Linked DNA regions of Mus musculus. The protein of the gene in region 1 interacts with the protein of each later gene in a biochemical or structural test. Links are inferred from orthologs where the notes say so. Each region holds a gene or a part of one and is shown on either strand. Other genes may lie near its edges.

What was found.
Region 2: the proteins of Dnm1 (region 1) and Sh3gl2 form a complex in vitro, tested with the Homo sapiens proteins (2 studies listed by BioGRID and IntAct, with this or other methods). The link is inferred for Mus musculus from reciprocal best matches to the Homo sapiens genes DNM1 and SH3GL2.
Region 3: the proteins of Dnm1 (region 1) and Itsn1 form a complex in vitro, tested with the Homo sapiens proteins (2 studies listed by BioGRID and IntAct, with this or other methods). The link is inferred for Mus musculus from reciprocal best matches to the Homo sapiens genes DNM1 and ITSN1.
Region 4: the proteins of Dnm1 (region 1) and Sh3gl1 form a complex in vitro, tested with the Homo sapiens proteins (2 studies listed by BioGRID and IntAct, with this or other methods). The link is inferred for Mus musculus from reciprocal best matches to the Homo sapiens genes DNM1 and SH3GL1.

Annotation. Positions count from the first base shown.
Region 1 is NC_000068.7:32,350,016-32,355,340, reverse strand, and holds the start of Dnm1 (dynamin-1), read left to right. Parts: upstream 1-2,011; 5' UTR 2,012-2,131; coding exon 2,132-2,292; intron 2,293-5,325. UniProt on the Homo sapiens protein: Catalyzes the hydrolysis of GTP and utilizes this energy to mediate vesicle scission and participates in many forms of endocytosis, such as clathrin-mediated endocytosis or synaptic vesicle endocytosis as well as rapid endocytosis (RE).
Region 2 is NC_000070.6:85,375,651-85,380,449, forward strand, and holds part of Sh3gl2 (endophilin-A1), read left to right. Parts: intron 1-690; coding exon 691-834; intron 835-1,743; coding exon 1,744-1,877; intron 1,878-3,601; coding exon 3,602-3,760; intron 3,761-4,799. UniProt on the Homo sapiens protein: Implicated in synaptic vesicle endocytosis. May recruit other proteins to membranes with high curvature. Required for BDNF-dependent dendrite outgrowth.
Region 3 is NC_000082.6:91,727,453-91,732,714, reverse strand, and holds the start of Itsn1 (intersectin-1), read right to left. Parts: upstream 3,345-5,262; 5' UTR 3,116-3,344; intron 3,108-3,115; exon of another isoform or gene 2,180-3,107; coding exon of another isoform or gene 2,140-2,179; intron 1-2,139. UniProt on the Homo sapiens protein: Adapter protein that provides a link between the endocytic membrane traffic and the actin assembly machinery. Acts as a guanine nucleotide exchange factor (GEF) for CDC42, and thereby stimulates actin nucleation mediated by WASL and the ARP2/3 complex.
Region 4 is NC_000083.6:56,033,225-56,038,551, forward strand, and holds the start of Sh3gl1 (endophilin-A2), read right to left. Parts: upstream 3,414-5,327; 5' UTR 3,236-3,413; coding exon 3,191-3,235; intron 1,866-3,190; exon of another isoform or gene 1,644-1,865; intron 1-1,643. UniProt on the Homo sapiens protein: Implicated in endocytosis. May recruit other proteins to membranes with high curvature.

The DNA.
Region 1 (5,325 bases):
TGTAAGTACACTGTAGCTGACTTCAGACACTCCAGAAGAGAGAGTCAGATCTCCTTACGGATGGTTGTGAGCCACCATGTGGTTGCTGGGATTTGAACTCATGACCTTTGGAAGAGCAGTCAGTGCTCTTAACCACTGAGCCATCTCACCAGCCCGAGAGTGTGGTTTTAACAGTAAGTTTTACCACTGTGTTTAAGGGGTGAAATCATAATACTTAGCTGGCAGGAGAGACGTCATGATCTAGAAAGTGGTTTTCCCAAGGTGTGCTGACCCTGTGAGGTCCCCAAATGTGGGGAAACTCAACTGCACTATTTGTAGCAGTGGAGCACTAGAGTCACACTTTCCCCTCAGAAGGATAAAGAAGAATAACAAAAGCTCAGTTGCAATGGTCCAGACAGACATCTTCAAACTGTATGCCCAGCCTAACTTGATGGTGCTGGTCACCTTGGCTCACATCCCTGTCCTCTCTAGGCTGGCTGAGAATAGCGGCTCTGGATGAGGGGTATTGGGGCTGGTGTTTCAGCTCCTGGATTTCTGATGTGGTTGGCATGGTTGTTAATGAGGGTCAATGCACACCAGGTCTGGGCTGGGCCTCACACAGACATTCTATTTTGTCATTGTGCCAACTCTACAGATTAGATAGCTATGACCCAGAAATGACCCAGAGGTAAGGTCTGGGTGGTTCTCCCCTAACTGGAAATCCCTTCTCACTGGGCTCATGGTCCACACACTTCTAGTCTCTGTTCCAGCATTATTATCCTGTATGAGTTAACAACACAAGCCCTGCCCCAGCCCTGCTCTCCACTCATCACCCCCGGAAAGAGTCATATTTATTGGCATATGACCCCTCCCTTTTCCACTTGACTTTGAGCCACTTGTAGGTGGCTTGTCACTGCCTTGTCTCTGGGGTCTAGCGGGAGCTAGCCTGCTCAGCAACCACACATTCAGTGGGTGAAAAAAATGGATAGTCTCTAATGCCTAGGGCACTTCCCTAGTCTCAGAACATAGAAGTGACCCGATAACCCTCTCTTTCTTGGCTTCTTTGTCAGGAGTCCTAACTAGGTCCTTCTTGATGCAAAAGTGAGTAGCCGAACCTAGATCCAACTATCTGTCTGTGTGAAAAGGACAGGCAAGTATGGCTGCAAGAACCCCTGGTTTGAATAGCACTATTTGCCACTCTGGGCCTGGCGCTCATCCTCTTGGAGCCTTAGAGTTCAAGACAAGAACTTTTGCCTCTCCTCGGCAGCACTTCCTAGGTATTGGGGCCTTTGCACTTCCTGTCCACTCCATCAGGGTGTCGGGCCCCTTCTTATCAGTTAGGTTCCCTTTCAAAGGTAATTTCTTTGGAAAACCTTTGCCCCCTTCTGGCTAATGTGACTTTCCAAGCCCTGTTGGTTTTCTCTGTTTCTTCTAGTACAAACGCTCTTCTGTGTCCCGTCTATCCCACCACCTGTAAGATCTCTGAGTGTAAAGTCCCTAGCTGTTCTGCCGAGTTTTGTGTCTGTAAACTTAGGAAGGGGTCTAGCTTATCATGGGCTCCTGGTAATTTGTTGAATCAATGGTTTTTCTTTCTTCCTCCTAGAACCAGAAACACTGAGGCCCCAGGATAGGAAGGAATATGCTGCAGATTTTTGATTAGTGTCAGAACCTAGACTAGAAAGGCTAAGTGGACTAGGGTTGACTTTGGTCAGCTGACTGCAGCAGCCTGTGGGTGCCAGATCTTCCCTCTAAGGCCTCAGTTTCTCCACTGGGAATAACTGCTGAAATGAAGTAATCATGACCACCACATACTAGCCCATTTCTAGAGTTAGCACCCCTAGCCATCACCAAAAGTATTATCTTCGGTGCAGCATCCGTATCCCAGAAACACAGGTAAGTCTCCCGAAAGCCGCAGAAGAAGAAAACGACAACACCCATGGCGCCCCGCGTTGCGTCTGCGCATAGTGACCAGTCCGCGAATCCCCGCGCGCCATCTAGCGGCGGCCTGGAGAAGCGCTCCGCTCGGATCCCCGAGGGGCGGGGGACCCGCGGCGCACGCAGTCGGGATATTCGGCTGCAGCCGCGAAGCCGGGGGCCAAGAGCCAGAGCAGGAGCGGCGGCCGGATCGCAGCCCGCCGGGCCCGCCGCAACCATGGGCAACCGCGGCATGGAAGACCTCATCCCGCTGGTTAACCGGTTACAGGACGCCTTCTCCGCCATCGGCCAGAACGCGGACCTCGACCTGCCGCAGATCGCCGTGGTAGGCGGCCAGAGCGCCGGCAAGAGCTCGGTGCTGGAGAATTTCGTGGGCAGGTAGGAGCGGCGCGGACACCCGCATCACGGTGCCCCGGGTCCCCACCCCGGGATCCGACGGTCTGGGCGCTGCTCTAGCGGACCGAGCGCCCCCGCCCCCCGCTTGAGTCCTGGGGTCCGCAGCGCCCCCGCCAGCCCGCGGATATCAGTGGAGTCCCCCCACTCACGCCCCCTCGTTCACCCCATCGTCTGTAGAGCGACCTCGGCAGAGAGCTGTCCTTGATCGCCAATACCCTCACCGAGGGGGCCCACATTACTCAGCGCCTCACTGGGAGCTGAGAGCACCCAGAGGGCAATATCCCCTTCCTGGGCTCCTTGGAACCCGCTCTGACCCCATGGGAATTCCTGGTCGTGACAGGGGACAGCCCCCTCCCCCAGTCCCTAGAAAAGGACACAGCCCCATAGGCATCGGAGACCAGGCACAACCCCCCCACCCCGCACACGCACAGGCGCGCGCGCGCGCGCGCGCACACACACACACACACACACACACACACACACACACACACACACACACACACCTCTGCGGCTCCCGCCGCCATCCGTGCGCAGAGAGGCAGAGGGGGAGGCGCGGGCTGCGGTGCGAGGAAAGGAAGGGGGGGGATGGCAGCGGGAGGAGAAGCGGCCTGTGAGCCTCTACGGAGCAGCCTGCCTTCGCTGCACCCCTTGGGAAGGGGCTGCTTGTCAGCGTCCTCCTCCCCTGGCCTGGCAGAAGGGTTGTGATGGAGAGAAAAGGCGGCAGAGGGCAGAGATGACTAAGTCCAGGAGGCAGGATGGCGAGGAGGGGGGTGGTGAGCCATTGCAGAACCTAATCCTCCTCTGGCCTCTGATCCCACAAGGCTCTGGGAAGGCCAGGTGGCAGAGTGGAGGAGAGCCTTAGAGACAAAGGGTCTTGGACTTAGAGGGGGCAAGCAGGGTCGTGACCCCCCTCCGCACCACCTCCCTAGGCTCCTTTGGAGCTAGGGAAGACAGAAGTGGCATTTCTGGTTCTTAGAAAGAGCAGCTCATTCTAAGCTCAGGTGCACTCTGGGAAGGGGACTGCCAGGACCAGAGAGGATGCACCAGTGCTAACCTTGACCCCTCACCCGCTAGGTGCAAGCTCTCATCTTTCTAGAAAGTCTTGCTTTCTTGCAATGACCTTCATGGCTAAGGAAATGACAGGCGTGAGGGAGAGGGAGGCGGCGGCGGCCCCTCCTTCCAGAGAGGAACAAGCATTCTGTGGGGTGACAGCTGGGTCTAAGCCAGGTGCTGCTGGAAAACCTTGGGCAAGTCACTTGCCTTTACCAAACCTCAGTGTAGTATGGACAGACTGGAGGGTTGATGCCACCACTTACACGTCCTGGGAAGCCACTGTGAACCCACCCCGGGGTGGGGGTGGGGTGGCGGGAGGAAGGGGGCCTGAGTGAGAACCATGTAGTGGTGAGATGTAGACGTGCCACAGTGGAAGTAGCTCTGTCTGTCTTGTCAGCAGAGAGGAGCAGCTGTCTCTGGATCATGTGACCCCAGAGCTGCAGATACAGGCAAGAAACCATATAGATGAGCCCCTTCCCGGGGGTCCAGCAGTCAGGGCTGTTGGGGATGGAGGAATGTCCAGCGCCCTGAAGACAGGGCCGTGGAGGGGTGTCGTGCACTTTACAGTGTGCATACCACAGCCCCATCTCCCATGCTCTGAGCATTTGCTGTTCTAAGCCAGACTGTGTGCTCTAGTTAGGGGGTGCAAACTGGAGCCCTTCCCTGCTTTGCTGTAGCCCCTGTGATGCAAACACAGTGGTGTCCACCCTATAGACGGGCAACTGAAATTAGATGCTTTTCTCAAGGTCACATATTCCCAAAGAGTGACACCTGTCAGACTCCATCTTGATCCTGCATTGGTCATGGGGACTGATTGGAGTGTAGACATCTGATTTCCCATTTGTAGAATGGGGACCCCTGGAAGCTTACCCGGACCTCCTAAACCAGTACAAAAGCCATTTGCTAAATCCATGGAAGAGAGACGCTTTGAGAGTCTAGAGACTGGGAACCTGTCCATGACGTTTTGCCCAGTGCAGTACCCAGCCCAGACCACAGCAGGTGATAGCCACAACTGTTGACCTGTCGAGAGGCCGCTGCTCCAGCCAGGAGGGCGTGGAAGATGCCCAGATGCAGGTCTGGGACGGAGGAGGAGCAAGCGGGCAGGCTTGTTAGCCCTTAAAAGCTAGTGAAGAAGCCACAAAATGAGCAGCAGCAGTACTGAGGCTAGGGGTGGGGTCAGGCTCCAGCCAGCCCCACCCGTGACCGACCTCACAGATTCCCTACCTCTCTGCCTAGCTCTGGGTCCCCAGACTCGTGAACATGGTAACAACAGCTCTTTCTCCTGGGCCTTTCAGAGCGCCAAACCCCCACGGAGAGGAAGTGGGAAACTCCCTAGAGGAAACAAGCCAATTCAGGCCAGGCAGGCTCCCAGGCATCCAGGAGGACCTCGTGTCAGCTCTGCAATGGAGGTGACCCAGCAGCTGTCCGGGACCCTGCTAGGTCTTGTCTGAGTCTCTGCTGTTCCTTTCCCTTCCCTTTACAGAGGCCAGCTCACTCAGTCATTTAGCTGTCATTCTTGGAAGGTCCACAGCGGTCACACTAGAGAGTCTTTGGTGAAGCTGTGCATTCTAGAGAGAGAAACCGAGACACCTGTAAGCTGCACTCTGTCTCCCAGGAGTTGGGCTGCCTTTCACACGGAGGGCTCAGAAGGTCTTAGAGGAAGGTTGCACCCAGGAAAACCAAGCAGGGCCAAGCTATGTGAGAAGCTGGGAGAAAATAATCCCAGGCCAGTGAACAGCAGTTCAAAGGGCCTGGGGCAGGAAAGGGTCAGTTTGAGATACAAACAGGCACCACAAGGTTTAGGCAGGAACGGTGGGACAGGTGTAGACAGGACCTCCATCTGTGAGCCCTCAGGCCATGGCGAGGGATTTGGTTTGTTTTCAAGATCCTTGGAGTGGTAGGGTGACCTGAGATGCTTCTGACAAATGGGAGACAGGAAGGAGGCAAGAGCCACGTCTAAGG
Region 2 (4,799 bases), on another chromosome or scaffold:
ATGTGTTACTAAAATGACTTCTTCCACTAAAGTGGGTGGGAGTAACTCTTTAGGCACCTCTTGAAAACAAACAAACAAACAAACAAAAACAAAGAACAAAATGAGAAGAGGAATCGAGAGGTAATCTTTGACAAACAAACTCAATCTTCAGCCGAGATGTTTAAGAGATGTAGTTAGATATTTTAATAAATATAGCATTTTATTCTTAGTTTAGAGATGACTTTGAGAATAGTTTATTTTACACATGTTGTAAAGGAAACAAGACCCAGGCCCACGAGTTCACCACCGTTTCTTAGTTTAATCCACATACTCCTAGAGTTGAGATATGAAACAGGAATAAAACTGGAAGATGAGGATATGGTCAGGTATTTCTAGGATGCAGTGTACAAGCCCCAGAGTCTCTGCCCTGTTTCAGGCAGGAGGATGTGGGGACAGCACCCAAACCATGCTGCTGCCCCGTGAAGACCTGTATTTGGCCTTGCAGTATAATTCTACTTGGAGTTGAAGTTTAGAGTTGATGTATATTCAGTTGCCCACATATTGTACCCAAGGGCTGTAGGCCCAGTGAAGGTGCAGCTTTAGGAGCCGAGTAGATGTCTGGGCTGATTGGAGCTTGGTTCTCCAGCCAGCCCAGTTCCCATTATGAATAGTGATGCTATCTCCTAAAGGCTGTTCTCCCTTTGTCTCCAGCTTCCAGGGCTAAGCTCAGTATGATCAACACCATGTCGAAAATCCGCGGCCAAGAGAAGGGGCCAGGCTACCCTCAGGCGGAAGCACTGCTGGCAGAGGCCATGCTCAAGTTCGGCAGGGAGCTGGGTGATGATTGCAACTTTGGTAAGTAGCCTTGGCCATACTGCAGGTCTCCAAGGAGGTTGTGGTGCTGATTAAAAAACAAAACAAAACAACAAAGCAAAACCCACTAACAACAGCAAACTCGAGATCATCAGTCAGCCTGCTTATATTTTAATTCTCACTTGTAGATGTTATATATGGGGGATGAAATGTGATTTTAGGACTGCCAGTGTTTAAAGTGATTTGTCTACGCAGCTTTTGTCCTTTTCCTCTAATGGGACCCCAGCCTTGACAACAGTTCCGGCAGACATGCCCAGATGCCTTGGCACTTTCCTGGGTGTATCTGGCAGGAGCTGCGTATTAAAGCAGATCGAGCAGTCACAATCAGCGTGAATTCCTACACTGGCACCTGGGCTCTCTAGGATTAATCCACTGCTCATTTGTTTGGGATCCCTGATTCTGTTGCTCCAGGCAAAATAGAATTTATTCTATCTCCTCTCTTGCCTGGCTCTCAGGACCCTAAGCACCTTCTGCCTTCAAGCACCTTCTGCCTTCACTCCTATTGACATGGGACCTCTCTAGTCCCTTTTTCCTCAGTTTTTAGTATCTGCTTCTGCTAAAAGCATTGAGCTGCAACTGATCTCATATTAATGAGAACTAGTGCCTATCACAGAGAACAGAGAGCCTTGCAAAATAGTATTCAGAGTAAAATATCCAGTTCCTGGTAAGGAGGGATACTCCTCCTTTTAAAGGGTCCATGGAGCCTGGTTTTCAGAATGACTGTGGTAAATAGAAAAACTTCTTTTGTCTTGAGAACACTATGGGCTTTCTTAGACTCTGTTGCTGTTATAGGACAGAGGCAATCCCTACACAGCCATCTTGAAGGCTGTTGTTGCAAAGAGTGCTTGTCTTTATTCTTCAGGGTGTGAGATCTTCATTTTCCCCTCTCAGGTCCTGCTCTCGGTGAGGTGGGAGAAGCCATGAGGGAGCTCTCGGAGGTCAAGGACTCATTGGACATGGAAGTGAAGCAGAATTTCATCGACCCCCTTCAGAATCTTCATGACAAGGATCTGAGGGAGATTCAGGTCTGTGCGATCCTTCTTCTCACACACACGCAGATTCTCATTTCCCAGACAGTCTCCCTGGGATACACAGAAGAGGGCACGTGAATTTCCTACAGCTCCATAAGATGAAAGGCACTGGAGACCAAGGGCCATCAATCCAGGATCACAGCTGCAGCCCTGCAGCTCCTGAGCAGAGCATTGGTTCCTCTGTCTTCAACTTCCTTGTTAAACAATCTTCCCACCATTTTTTTTTTCTTAAAAAAAAGCCCCTTAATTTTTTTTTAAATGTAGCCCTGGTTGTCCTAGAATTTGCTCTATAGATCATGCTGGCCTCACACTCACAGAAATCCACCTGCCTCTGCCTCAGTAGTGCTGGGATTAAGGGCTTGCATCACTGCCACCCAGCCAAAGGGATGTCCTTTATCCGGGACTTTAAACTCTGTTAATGATGGATGAGGCTGATGGGGTCCCCAAATATTAGTTGTACTTCTATCAGTTTAAATAAGTAGCTACTATATTACTCTTCGATTTTTATATTTTCCTTATTGTTGTTGGTGTTTAGAAGGAATAACCACGCTTTGTGAAACATACAGAAAAGCTGAGATATCTCTGATAAATTAAGCTGGTGTTGCCTCTGAGTGGCCGTGAGTTCAAATGCTTCTACAGCACCCCCTTGCCAAAAGAAAGCACACTTAGTTGGGATTAGAGTGTTAGTTGGGGGTGGGAGATGCGGTGAGAGGAGCAGGGTGTAGAACAAAACCCATCCTTTATCTTGCCAGTTCTCTACCACCCCTGACTCTGTTTCTATCTTCTCTTCTTCCTCCCTCGTCCATACACACTAAGGAACAGAGGAAAAAATCACTTTTTTCTCCCACCAGTTAGTCGTAGAATGCTACAGCTATTAAGAAAGGAAACTACTGTTGATCTTCAGGAAAACAAAACAGAACAAAACTACTTATCCTCATCTTTAGAGAGGTTATGAACCTTACCATATGGAGATACTACAGTGAGGGATTAAAGCTACAGGTGTGTGTGTGTGTGTGTGTGTGTGTGTGTGTGTGTGTTAGGGGAGGTAGTGCTGATAGAAGATCCTCCAAGGTCCCTTGCAGTTTGGGTTTGTGACTGAGTTGTGTCACCTGTCCTTGGAGAGGTAAACTCATCTGTCCCCTAAAAGCTACCTCTGTCAAATGGGGCAGGTGTTGTGATGCAGATCACTAGGCTCAGCCTGGCTTTTCTGACTTAGGTGATCAGATATTCTTACCTAACATACTAGGTGACTCTGGTAAACTAGATTAATAAAAAAGGAATTTCATTTTTTTCTACCTTTACCTCAGAAAAGAGGGCTTTCCCATTTCTCACGAGGAAGGTGACTGGCAGGCTCTTGTGTGTAGCATTTTCTTGAGGTGGAAGGTATGGGTGATGCCTATCCACATGCCCTTCTTGTCATTTGGAGAAGAGATATAGTTCAACTTGGCTTTGGCCTGGGAATGCTTAGCAAAAGGACATTGGTCTTTCAGTGACTTGTTTCTCATTCTGAATTATTTGTCAAGGTGTCCCTCTACAGTTAGCCACTAGAAGCATTTGCGTTGCTGGTACATGTGTCTTCATTTCTCTGGTGACATGCAATTTCAAACTCAGCCAGTCACATTTTGGAAGCTACTAGGAATGTAAGAAAAATGAGGTACAAGAAGGTCTTTTCCATAATATGTCCTTTGGAAGCATGTTCCTGCCCTTGGCTCTTTCAGCATCATCTGAAAAAGCTGGAAGGCCGACGCTTAGACTTTGATTATAAGAAGAAGCGACAAGGCAAGATTCCAGATGAAGAACTCCGCCAAGCTCTGGAGAAATTCGATGAGTCTAAAGAAATCGCCGAGTCGAGCATGTTCAACCTCTTGGAGATGGATGTAAGCTGCTTTTCTCTGGGTTTTCATTTAATTTTACCATCGAGGCATAGCACTGATGTGTTGAAAGACATATCATGTGACATGATACCATCTGGTTCCTCTGTGTGATAAGAACACACAGGGGCCACTTATCTTAGTGATTTATCATACAGACAACATGGAAATGGAATTCATTTCTTTATCCTTATAGATTGATTGAACCAGAACTATTTTTAATGGATTTTAAAGTATTGCCAGTAAGTGCAGAGATAATGACTCTGATAACCCACATATAAATCCAACATATTACAAACTACTGTTTTAATATAGAGCATATGACCTGCATTATGAATAAATTACATTCAGAATTGAGTTTCTGAAGTTATAAAGTTGTCAATACATAGAAGTGATCTTGAAATTTTCATAGAAAAATACATAAATTAGAATTGATGATTCATTCAGGGCATGGCTGAGATGGTTTAGAAGTTGCCCCTGCATCACCAGAATTCTAAATTATCACTTATGGCTTCGGACATTAACTTCTGTTGAGTTCATTCAGCTGTAAAGCCACATGAACAGTGCTTTCTTCCTTATTTCACACATGTATAGATTTGAATAACTGGATTTCTTGTCCTGGACCATCTCCACCATCTAACCCCAGAGTTCATCTGGGACGTTTGTAGGGCTTTGTGTACTCATCACTGGAGGAATCTCCAGAGAAACAAAACCATAGGGTTATAGGTACAGGTGGTATGGATGCAGGGTGCATAGCTGGAGATCAAGGGAGAAAGGGGAAGTTTCTCATGAGGAGGCTGATTGAGGCTCAGAAGCTCCACATATACCTCCAGATAGGTGGGGAGCCAGTGAGGCTGGAAACATAGTTCAGACTGATTCTAAAGGCCTGAGAATGAACGTTGGCATTGGCAAATTGATTCGGTTACCAGAGGCTAGGAAACCAGAAATGGCAGAGAAACACAAGTCTCGAGGATGGAGAGCTGGCAGCTCTGGTGTTCAAATGCAAGAGGAGGTAAATGTTCAGCCCCAGGAGAGAAAGGAGTGA
Region 3 (5,262 bases), on another chromosome or scaffold:
AATCTGTAATTTATAGGACCCTGTGGTAGACTCTGTAAAAGGGAGTAAAGGTCGTATATCATAAGAGTCAAATTGGAAAGCATATGTATTGTCCATATTTTCTAAAAATGATTCTTTATGTTGGGATTATCATCATTTATAAAATGATACGTGATTAGACTCTACATTAAATTTTGAGCCCTCAGGGGCAACATCTACTAGACATCTTTCTAGCACATCACCCAGAAGGGCTGTACATTCAACACTGGTCAAGCTTAGGGGAACTGGCTAGGACACAGCGCTGTGACTACTCTGTGATGTGACCAACTTGGCAGGTAAAGACTCAAAACAGTGGGATGGAGGCAGTGTGGCTCACCCATCCACCCTGCAACGGTCTGAAAGGCACTGGCTTAGTTTCTAGGCAGGCCACACCAATTCTGCTCTTCTGAAACCCTCATCACAGTATGTAAAACCTCTGCTACTTGAAAAGCTTGCTATCCACTTCAGAGACGGTCTTAGGAGACACTCGGTAAGAGAGAAAAGCACAATGCCAAGGTTCTCCAAGTTCTCTCTCTGGCTTGGAGAAATTCCTGGAAACTGTATTGACAATACTGACTACTTCCCATTGTCTGACTGAGCTGGAGAGACAGAAACCTGGTAAGCTGATGTAAAGATATCTGAATGCCAGACTTAGATGGAGCCAGTAAGTGGAGCCATTCAGGAGGGAGTCACTAAAAAGAGAAGTCTGACATAAACCCAACCTCCATTAATTAATTTTCTTTAAGTCACAGGTTGAGCAAATTAAAAGGATGAGAGTCTAGAGACTGTAGCACAAGGCCCCAGGATCTAATGCCAGCAGTACCACACACAAAGACAACGTGAGGCTGCAGATGTAGCTAGGTGCTAGGCTACACTCTAGCATGCTCCAAGGCTTGGCTCAATCACCAAAAGAGAAAAAGCACAGGCAGAGGAATTTACCAGGGCCTCCCTTTTAAGCTCTTGCAAGTGTTTTAAGGGTGTATCTCAATCTAGGTTATTTGGGGAAAAGATAAAGAATGCCCAGAGGAAAAAGAAACTGCTAGTCAACAGCAAAAGAAAGAAAGAAAGAAAGGAAAAAAGGAAGGAAGGAAGGATGGATGTGGGCTGGAGAGATGGCTTAGCAGTTAGAGCACTGACTGCTCTTCCAAAGGTCCTGAGTTCAAATCCCAGCAACCACACGGTGGCTCACAGCCATCAGAACAGCTACAGTGTACTCATATAAATAAATAAATCTTTTTTTAAAAATTAAAAAGAAAGAAAGAAAGAGAGAGAGAGAAAGAGAGAGATTCAAAGAAAGAAAATGCTGAGGAACAAACATTTCAGGGAACTAACTTGCCGCTACTCATTTTATGCCCTATTTCACAATGCTCAGCATCTGAACAATCCACAGGGTTCCAAAGTACATTAAAATGTGTTCATTTCCTCTCTTACTCAGGCAGAATAATAATAGTTTTGTGGCGGTACCACAATCCTCAGCAATTTCAATGACAGACACTTTTTTTTTAAACACATACTCTCTGAGAGGTGCCTTACTGCAGCCACTTAAAAGTGTATAGAAATATCTATGCCCTGTCACCAAATCAGTGGCCTTCACTTCTTAATTTAAATCCTTTATAATTTCCTGAGTTCTTTACATATCTCCTACAGAAAGACGTTGCTTTTTAAAAACTTCTTAAGTTATAAGGGAACTCACACACACATACAAAATATTTCAAGCAAACTAGTGTAAAAAAAAAAAAGTAACAAAAATGGTAACCATAATGGTTGCTGAAACGTCTGCACTCTTCACCGTTAACATCTTCTAAAAATAAAAGTATCCCAACAAATAAATACATTCCTCTAGTTTGGAGCATTTAGAGAAACACCCTGCCAAGCAGCTGGCCTGCGGGCTCCTGGCCCCAGCTCCTGCCCTCACATCCTGTCCACTACATAATCCATGAGCAAGCCTTTCTCTTCATCAATTCAGCGGGATTAGTAAACCGGCCTCCCTGAAAATAGAACTGATATTTTCCACGGGCATTTGTTCCCATGCTTTCACTATCTATGCTATTTATCAGACTCTTTTTTTCTTTTTTATCCTCCGTGTTTCCGACCACGAAGTACCAAGAGAAAGATACCAACCGATAAACACAAAAGAACCGCATCTGGCCAGAGTCTGCATGCATTTACATTTCCAGGTTGCTTCTGTTTTCCGAAAAGCAGTGATGAGGGCAAAGTCGCAAACTTTCACATTCAAGATGCTACCAAATACCTCTACACCCTCAAGCTGCAGCAAGAAGCCACTAATCTATTCCTTCAAAAGCAAAGCCTGTAGTCTGAATCACAACAATAGAAGACTGCTCATAGGCAAGAGGATCAGCGAAGTTGTCTTCCAAAGCAAAGGCAAACAGAAGTGAAGGGAGATCCAGCCAGCTCCTCCTTGCTTTTCTTTCTTTCTTTTCTTTTTTTTCTTTCTGGGAATCCGGATTGCATTTTCTGGTGCCCCCCCCCACCCCCAAGAAGGGACCGCAATTATGCACTGGGTCCACAGCAGACACCCGAGTCAGTGCGTGCGCAAGGAGGGCGAAGCGGCCGAGAAGGGGACGCACGCCCGCTGCAAGGGTAGCCGCTTTCTGTTAAATGCCATCAGAGCCAGCCCCGGCCGCACCACTTCGGCCCAAACGGCATTGACCGCCCTTCACTTGACAGGGTATTCCAAGCAGGCGCTAGAGAAAAAGGATGAGCCGGGGACTCGAGGCCGGGGGCACCCGCGGGCGGCGCGATGCGGCTCCCGCGAGCTCGGGATCCCCGGGAGGCCGGGTCGGCCCGCCACCCTCCGGCGGCCGAGGGCAGAGGGGTCAGCGGTGGAAGGACCGCCCGCCGCGATGCCCCCCACGGGAGCGCCGGCCGTGGCTGCGGACGCCCATTCAGCCCGAACCCGTCCCGCGGCCGCCACCGCCGCGGCCCGCCCGCCCCGCTGCCCCCGGGGAGGATGAGAAAGACCGGGCGGAGCGGCGACGGCGGCCGCAGGGACGCGCGCCCGGCCGCTGGACCCGACCCCGGGGCGGCCATCGCCGACCCCCGCCCGCGCGCCAGGCCGCCCGCGTCAGCTCCTCACCTCATCTCCGGGCGGGTGCGCGCGGCCGCCCCTCACACAAATCAGTGCAGCCCGCACGCCGCGCGGAGGAACGCCGAGTCCGCAGCCGCGCACACCATCCCCGCCCGCCCGCCTGCCTGCCTCCCGGCCGTCCCGGAGCCCGCTCGGGATGCTCCCTTGCGAGCCGCCGTACTACGGAGCAACCAAGCTGCGCGCCCTCCCCGCGCCGCTCCACTCCTCTCGCCCTCCTTCGCTCCTTCGCTCCCTCACTCCCGCCTAACTCCTCATCTCCCTCCGCCGCCGCCCCTCCGCCCACAGCCTGCCCTCCGCCCCACCCATAGATGGGCGGGGATAACCGCCTGCCAATCGGACGGCGGAGACCACGCCTTCGCTCTCTCCTATGACTCCGCCCACTAGGTGGGCAAAAAAGAAGAAAGGAGCCAAAGGAAATAGAGGTGTACAGAGTGACAACGAGATACACCAATGAAGTAGTTTGGATAGCACCCCCCCACACACACACACTTTTTTCCCCTCCCATCCTTGTCTCGTCCCTTGAAGGCGTAACTAGAGGTTTCTGCTCTATGCGTGCGGAGATTTTGTTTCACGATTTGGCGCTTTGCTCTTTTCTATGCGCGACAGTAGCTAGGATACATTCAACTAAATTGAAGGTTTTGCAGAAAGAGCGTGGGCACGAAAGGCGAAAGACACAAAGACTGAAGAAAGATGGTAGGGGTTACGGTTGGAATGAGGAAGGGTGTGGCCTTTTACTCTAATTTGCATAAAACGGAACCCATCTTGGCAACGCCCAACTTCTCCCATTTATTGGTGGTCCCTGGGGCGGCGACTCGTCTCTCTACGGGAAGCAGCATGCTGGGAGATGTAGTTCCGGGTTCAGTTGCCATGGCGTTCGTCACAGCCTCCCCCAGATCGGTCATCCTGCGGTAGTGACGGGCAGTCTGACCAATGGCAGTACTGTTTGGACCCAAGAAGGCGGGCTCTCTGCAGAAGGACTGGGAAGGTGGCGGCGGCGAAGGCGCTGGCGGTTGAGGTTGCTCCGAGCCAGGTGAGCCAGGGAAGAACGATGTGTGTCTCTGAAATGGGACTTTGGGCGAAAAATGGAGAAACGCCTGAAGGAGCTGTCTAACCCTGGGGAGACTGGTACTTCGCATCACACGCCGACCTCAGAGATGCCCTGGCTCAGGCCTAGCTTGGCCGAGGCCGCCGAGGGGCGGGTAATACTAGATTTGACGGACAGTTCCTGACCCTGGCTAGGTTTTGATTGTAGACTGATCTTTGCTTCTTCCTCCGCGTTTATGGAGGCAAAGGTCTAGAACTGCCTTTCTCCTGGGTTGAGTCCTCCCCGCCCCCAGCTTCTCCCTATCACTGTTTCTGATGCTGTCTCTATTACTACTTCCCTTGTCACCCTTCTTATCCTTCTCTTTGCATTTCCAGTAAGCGGTTTCCTAAAGCAAACAAGGGTGGGTGTTCGCAGTAATGGGGCCTTGGGTCAGGAATTGCCTGCTTCATTGAGCCGGCCATACTTGAGCCATACTAAAGAATTATCCCAGGGTCGTGAGGAGGTGCAGATACTGATTCTGGATTTGGGCCTGGTGGTCTGCATTTGCTTTTTAAAAATTATATATATATATCTATATATGGCATTTTAAACAAACTGCCAAGTATAGCCAGTCCACAGTAGCTGAGTTTTGCATTGCCTGTCCAGGACAGATGTTCTAGGCACCCAGACGCTTTTAGATTTCCTGGGAGCCACATTTGGACAGTGAAGAGACCACGTGAAATTAATTTTACGTTTCTCTTAAACCAGCTTATCCAAATATTATTTCAACCTTTAAAGAAATCAGATATTTAAATGAGACAGTGTATCTGTTGTGCGTTTTACCCTCGCAGCATACCCTCGTACCCTCATCCTAAGGGCACGCCACTCACGTGCGGAGTAGCCACCTGTGGCTATTCGCCGCTCTCCGAATCCAGATGATGCAAGAGACCATTGCACAAACTCAGCAGTGTTAGTCATGTGATTGCCAGCGACATCCCTTTGCTGCTTCAGTACATGGGTTCAGAACTACTTTCACAATACGATACTGAGCTTACAAGAATACCAGGGAAAGTAATATTTATTAAAAAGCCAACTTCCGTAATGTGTGCGC
Region 4 (5,327 bases), on another chromosome or scaffold:
GCTTACTTGGAGCCCAGGTGCCTGCCCAGCTCCATCCATACCTTGCCTTGGCACCCCTGAACCTCTTTTGCCTTTCTGAGTCAGGGGCTCATGCTGACCTCAAACACACTATGTAGCTGAACTCCTGACCTGGTGTGTGTGGAGCTGAGGACGGAGCCCAGGGCTCCTTTACAGGCTCGGTGACTGTTCTACCTACTGAGCCCCAGCCTCTCCTGCCTGTTTCTCTTTTTTCTCTCTCTTTTTTTTTCTTTACAGGTAAGCTTTCACTATGTAGCCCAAGCTGGCCTAGAACTCACAACCCTTCTGACTTTCTAGTACACAGGAATTACAGGTATGCCCTGGCATACTGGCTTGTGGTTTCTCTTTCTTATGAGAAAGATAATCTAGGGACTCAGGAATCCACCAGAGAGGTGTTACTTGGAGAAAAGAAACCCAGGAGGGAGGGACCCAGGTGAAAGAGTAGAATGTTGAAAACCTGGAAAACTTCTGCAAGAGGCTGGGCCATAGGCCATCCGTGTGCAACTCTTGAGAGCTCGCTCAGAGTTCTCTGGGACAGGGCCTTGGAATGTCTAAACAGTAAATTGATTCTCACCTGAGCTGAGCTTTGCAGGTTTGTAGGCAGGTGGGATGGGTGGCCCTCCAAGTGGGAAAGAGTCTAGTGGCTGCCTATGAGTCCCTGACAGGACCTGCTGGGAATCAGCAGGGGAGGGACCTCCGGGAACTCCATCTGAGGGATGTGGGGCCACAGGCATTCAAACAGAAGGACAGCCACAGAACCCAGGCTGGCATCACAGCCTAAGGAGTTCAGGCACTGGAGGTCTCTTGCCTACTGCATAGGTCCTACCACATCAACTCCATTGCTAGCCTCCCTATGAGGTCCACAGATAGAGCTCAGATGTCTTTATCCTTAGGCAACTGCTAGGCCCTTCCTTCTTTTCAGCCCTTGGGTGACAGCACCAGCTGGCTGCTCCCTCTGGCTGGGCCTCTCCAGACTGTGGGGAGAACCTTTCTCACAGGCATGGCCCAAGCAATTCCTTACACTGTTGCTCATCTCTCTGTGGAATCTACTCGAGCCAGCTCCACACCCAGGATTCTCGGGCTGTACTGCACAGCCACAGGATTAGCACATCTGGGGCTTCTTGGAACAGAAACCGGGCAACAAACTACGTGTTCACAGACCTCCCTGCAAAGATCCAGGGCTTGCATGACTATGGGTTGCAGGCTCTGAACTACTTGTTTGAATGGGGTTTCACTACATACCCTTGGAACTAACACTGTATACCAGGCTGGCCCTCAACTTGTAACAAAACCAGGGCTTCCTGTGTGGTAGGCAAGTACTCTACCAACTAGCTACACACCCAGATCTGTTGTCATTTTGAGATATGAAAGTTCTTACTTTGAAGCCCAGAGCCCGGGTCCTATCCTATCCTCTGCATTCCGAAAGCTATTCAGGAGTTCGAGAAGGGGAGCCAGCTGCTCCAACACTGGTGGGGTCTGGCCTCTGAGCTGAGTGAGACAAGCACTGGATTGGATGCACAGGCAGAAGACAGCCTCCTCCAGCCACACTAGCATCAACCCTGGTGACCTCTAGGGTATCAGACATAGCAGCCAAGCTGGCTCCACAGGCTTCACTTGGAACTCACTTGGCTTTTGATCCTCCTGCCTCAGCGGCCAGAGGGCCTGGGGTTACAGGCCTGCCAGGCTTTCCAGCAGTGTCCCATGTAAAATGCATGTCAAGCTGAGGTCATGGCTCAGGGTAGAGCTGTTGCCAGTGTGGTTGAGGTCCTGGGCTCCAACCCCAGCAAACATCCATCAAACGAGAGAGAAAGAGAGAGCGCACTCGCGAGCACAATCGATCTAGCAACCTGGAGGAAAAGGCAGAAGAAAAGAAACTCAAAACAGACAGGAGAAAACTCAGTCACGAACTTCTGGCCACTGAGGTTTGGTGACAAACATCTGTAACTCAGCACCGGGAGGCAGAGGCGGGAGGATAATGACTATGAGGCCACTCTGGCCTGACTGAGACAGAGATGAGACAACAAGGGTTTTCTCAAGCAGAAACCTGACAGAGCTGAGGGAACAGGCTCACTTGAGCCCAGGAGTTCAAGGCAAATATAAAACCTTCAACACACAAAGGTATCCTGTCATCCCAGCGCCTGAGAGGCAGGAAGATGGAAAATTCTGGGCCAGCCTGGACTACGAGCAAAACTTGGCCTCAAAAAACCCCCCAAAAGTTCCAGAGGGACATTACACTATAGGATGTCTGAAAGGAGCGCCTGCCTGCCTGGGGTAGGGTTCTCAATGTTTATACAACGGAGGCCAGGATGCCCACCCTACAGAACTCCTGAATGTCAACACAACCAGAAAGGAGAATTTCAGTTCAGAGTCATGATCGGATCGATTAAACACTAAACCCAAACCACCAAGTACCTATAGGAATCTATAGTATGGTACAGCCAACAAAAACGTATCTTTCAAAGAAGCATACATATGTTTTAGAAATAGGGACACAAACCTGACACATTTTGTAAACTGCAGAAGCCTGGAAAATTACTTTTCACTGTCTCTTTTCAACTTGCCACAGTGTCTACCAAGAGATTTTTCTTTCATTTTTGAGACAGGGTCTCCTTATGTTACGTAACCCTGGCTGGCCTCAAACTCAGAGATCTGCTTACCTGACTGCCTCAAGTGTGCAGGGATTAATGATGTATAACACCCAGTGAGCGAGAATGTTTGTTTTTGGTTTTTTAGGTTTTTTTTTTTTCAATCCGTCTTACAGACACCGGAGAGGGAAAAGAAGAATGGGACACTGATTATTTTTTAAGCCCTGTGTGGACTTGGTTTTTTTGGATATCAACCTAGACAAACATTTTCTGTGGCCTGAGGCTATGTGGTGAGAGTCTCGGAAGCATAGCCTGGAGACTTTGGGGGGGGGGGGGCTTGCCTTCCATGCTGCGATCCCAGGAATCGAACTTACGTTGTAAAGCCTGGCGGCAAGCCCCTCTCAATGAAGCCCTTTCGCCGGCCCTCCAGAGCTTTCTGAAAGCCGCCTAGACGCGCACACCCGGTGTCCCTCTTCAAAGCACGGGGACCCGGTCTCCCCTTCCCCGCTAGCCCAAGGGAAGCCAGCTCGGCTCGTCTGCGGTCCCCAAAGGCAGGCCCGAGACCAGATCGCCTGGCCTCGCCTCACCTGGCTCGCCTTGTAGAACTGCTTCTTCAGCCCCGCCACCGACATGCCGCCTGCCGCCGTCAGGCCTCCCGCTCGAACTCCGGTTTCCGCCGGCGCCGCCGAACCGACTTCTTTCCTCCGCGCGCAGGTCGGCGCCGCCACCGCCAAATCAGCTTGCCAGCTCTGCGCCCCCGCCCCGAAGCCACCTCGGCCGGCTAGCGCGCACGCGCGGCCGGGATATTACATGGCAACCGCACACTTCCGGTGACGCCCCCATATCGCCTCACCCCACCCTACAACGGCATCTGCGCGCGCTCCGCCTCTCTGCGCGTGCGCGCCCCCTGGAGGACAGAAAGAGCATTGCCGGGGGAGGAACGGCGGAAACCCTCCCACACCAACGAGATGAGGGGGCGCCTAGAGAGGCCAGAAATCTGTGTACGTGCGCGTGTACGCATGATGCAGCTCCCTCTAGAGTCCAGGAGTAGATATAAAGCCAAAAGTCAGTTTTAATTAATTAATATTTTATTTGTGCGTGGAGAAAGCGGAGCGGAATTTGCCAGCGAGAGTGTAATAAAGACAAAGCGAGGTAAAATGGAATATCTTAGGGGCTAGAGGAACGGTTGGTTCTCCAGGTAAAAGTGCTTGCTGCCCTGGCTGACATCGGGAGTTCAGTTCCTCGCATCCACATCAGGCTGCTTGCTCATAGCTAGCTGTCTGTAACTCCAGCTCCGGGTCACAGCCCTTTCCTGGCCTCCTTCAACTGCTCTCAAGTACACCGGGTCACATATATACCCATAACTTAAAAATTAATATGAGGTATGCCAGTGGTGATGCATGTACGCCTTTAATCCCGGCAGAGGCCCAAATGCTAACACGCCACCAGCCTTCTCTCTGGGGTCCTTCCTTCAGTGTCTCCCTTCTAATAAATCGCTGAGGATACAACTAGAAAAGAGAGTCCTTTATTTCCTTCTTCATAACTTTATTTCAGAGCAGATATTGCATAACCCAGGCTAAGCCTCAAACTTACTGTATAACCAAGGATGACCTTGAACTCCTGTCCAAGCTCCTCCACGTCCCAAGTGCTAAATCACAGGTGTGCACCAATGAGCCCCACTAGAAACATATTTTCAAAATAGTTCGCTCAGACTGTAGCTATCTCCTATTTCGAGTTCCATTGGTTCATTCCTGTCATGTACCAGCTATAGGACATCATTGCTTTTTTGCGCATTAGCCCTGCAGTGAGCTTCCTCTCATCATTAAGACAGAAAGAGGACTCTAATTGAATGATATCTGTGATGGCTTGTATATGCTCAGACCAGGGAGTGGCACTATTAGAAGTTGTGCCCCTGCTGGAGTAGGTGTGTCACTGTGGGTGTGAGCTTTAAGACCCTCATCCTAGCTGCCTGGAAGCCAGTATTCTGCTAGCAGCCCTCAGATGAAGATGTAGAACTCTCAGCTCCACCTTCACCATGTCTGCCTGGATATTGCTATGTTCCCGCCTGGATGATAATGAACTGAATCTCTGAACCTGTAAGCCAGTCCCAATTAAACATTGTTTTTTTTTTTTTAGATTTATTTTATTATTATATCTAAGTACACTGTAGCTGTCTTCAGACACACCAGAAGAGGGCATCAGATCTTATTAAGGATGGTTGTGAGCTACCATGTGGTTGCTGGGATTTGAACTCATGACCTTTGGAAGAGCAATCAGTGCTCTTACCCGCTGAGCCATCTCTCCAGCCCCCTAAACGTTGTTCTTATAAGAGTTGCCTTGGTCATGATGTCTGTTCACATTAGTAAAACCCTAACTAAGACAATATCTCTTCAATGAAGTCTCCCCAGGTTGACATATGTACCTTAACCCTTCTATCAACTGTTACAAATTTCAAAAACTATATAGAATATGCCAGGTGTGGCAATGCACACACCTTTAACCCAAGCCCCTGAGAAGCAGAGCAGATGGGTCTCCGAGTTTGCGGCCAGTCTGGACTACATAACCAGTTACAGACCAGGCAAGCATGACCTGGAGATTAATAATGAATGGAGGTAATGAGTAAATAAATCCTAAAGCAGACACAGGAAAATGGCTAGGGTTGAAATTGGTGAAAAGTTGGGGTGGTTTCATGAACCCAGAGATTACTGGAAGGTTCCAAATGAC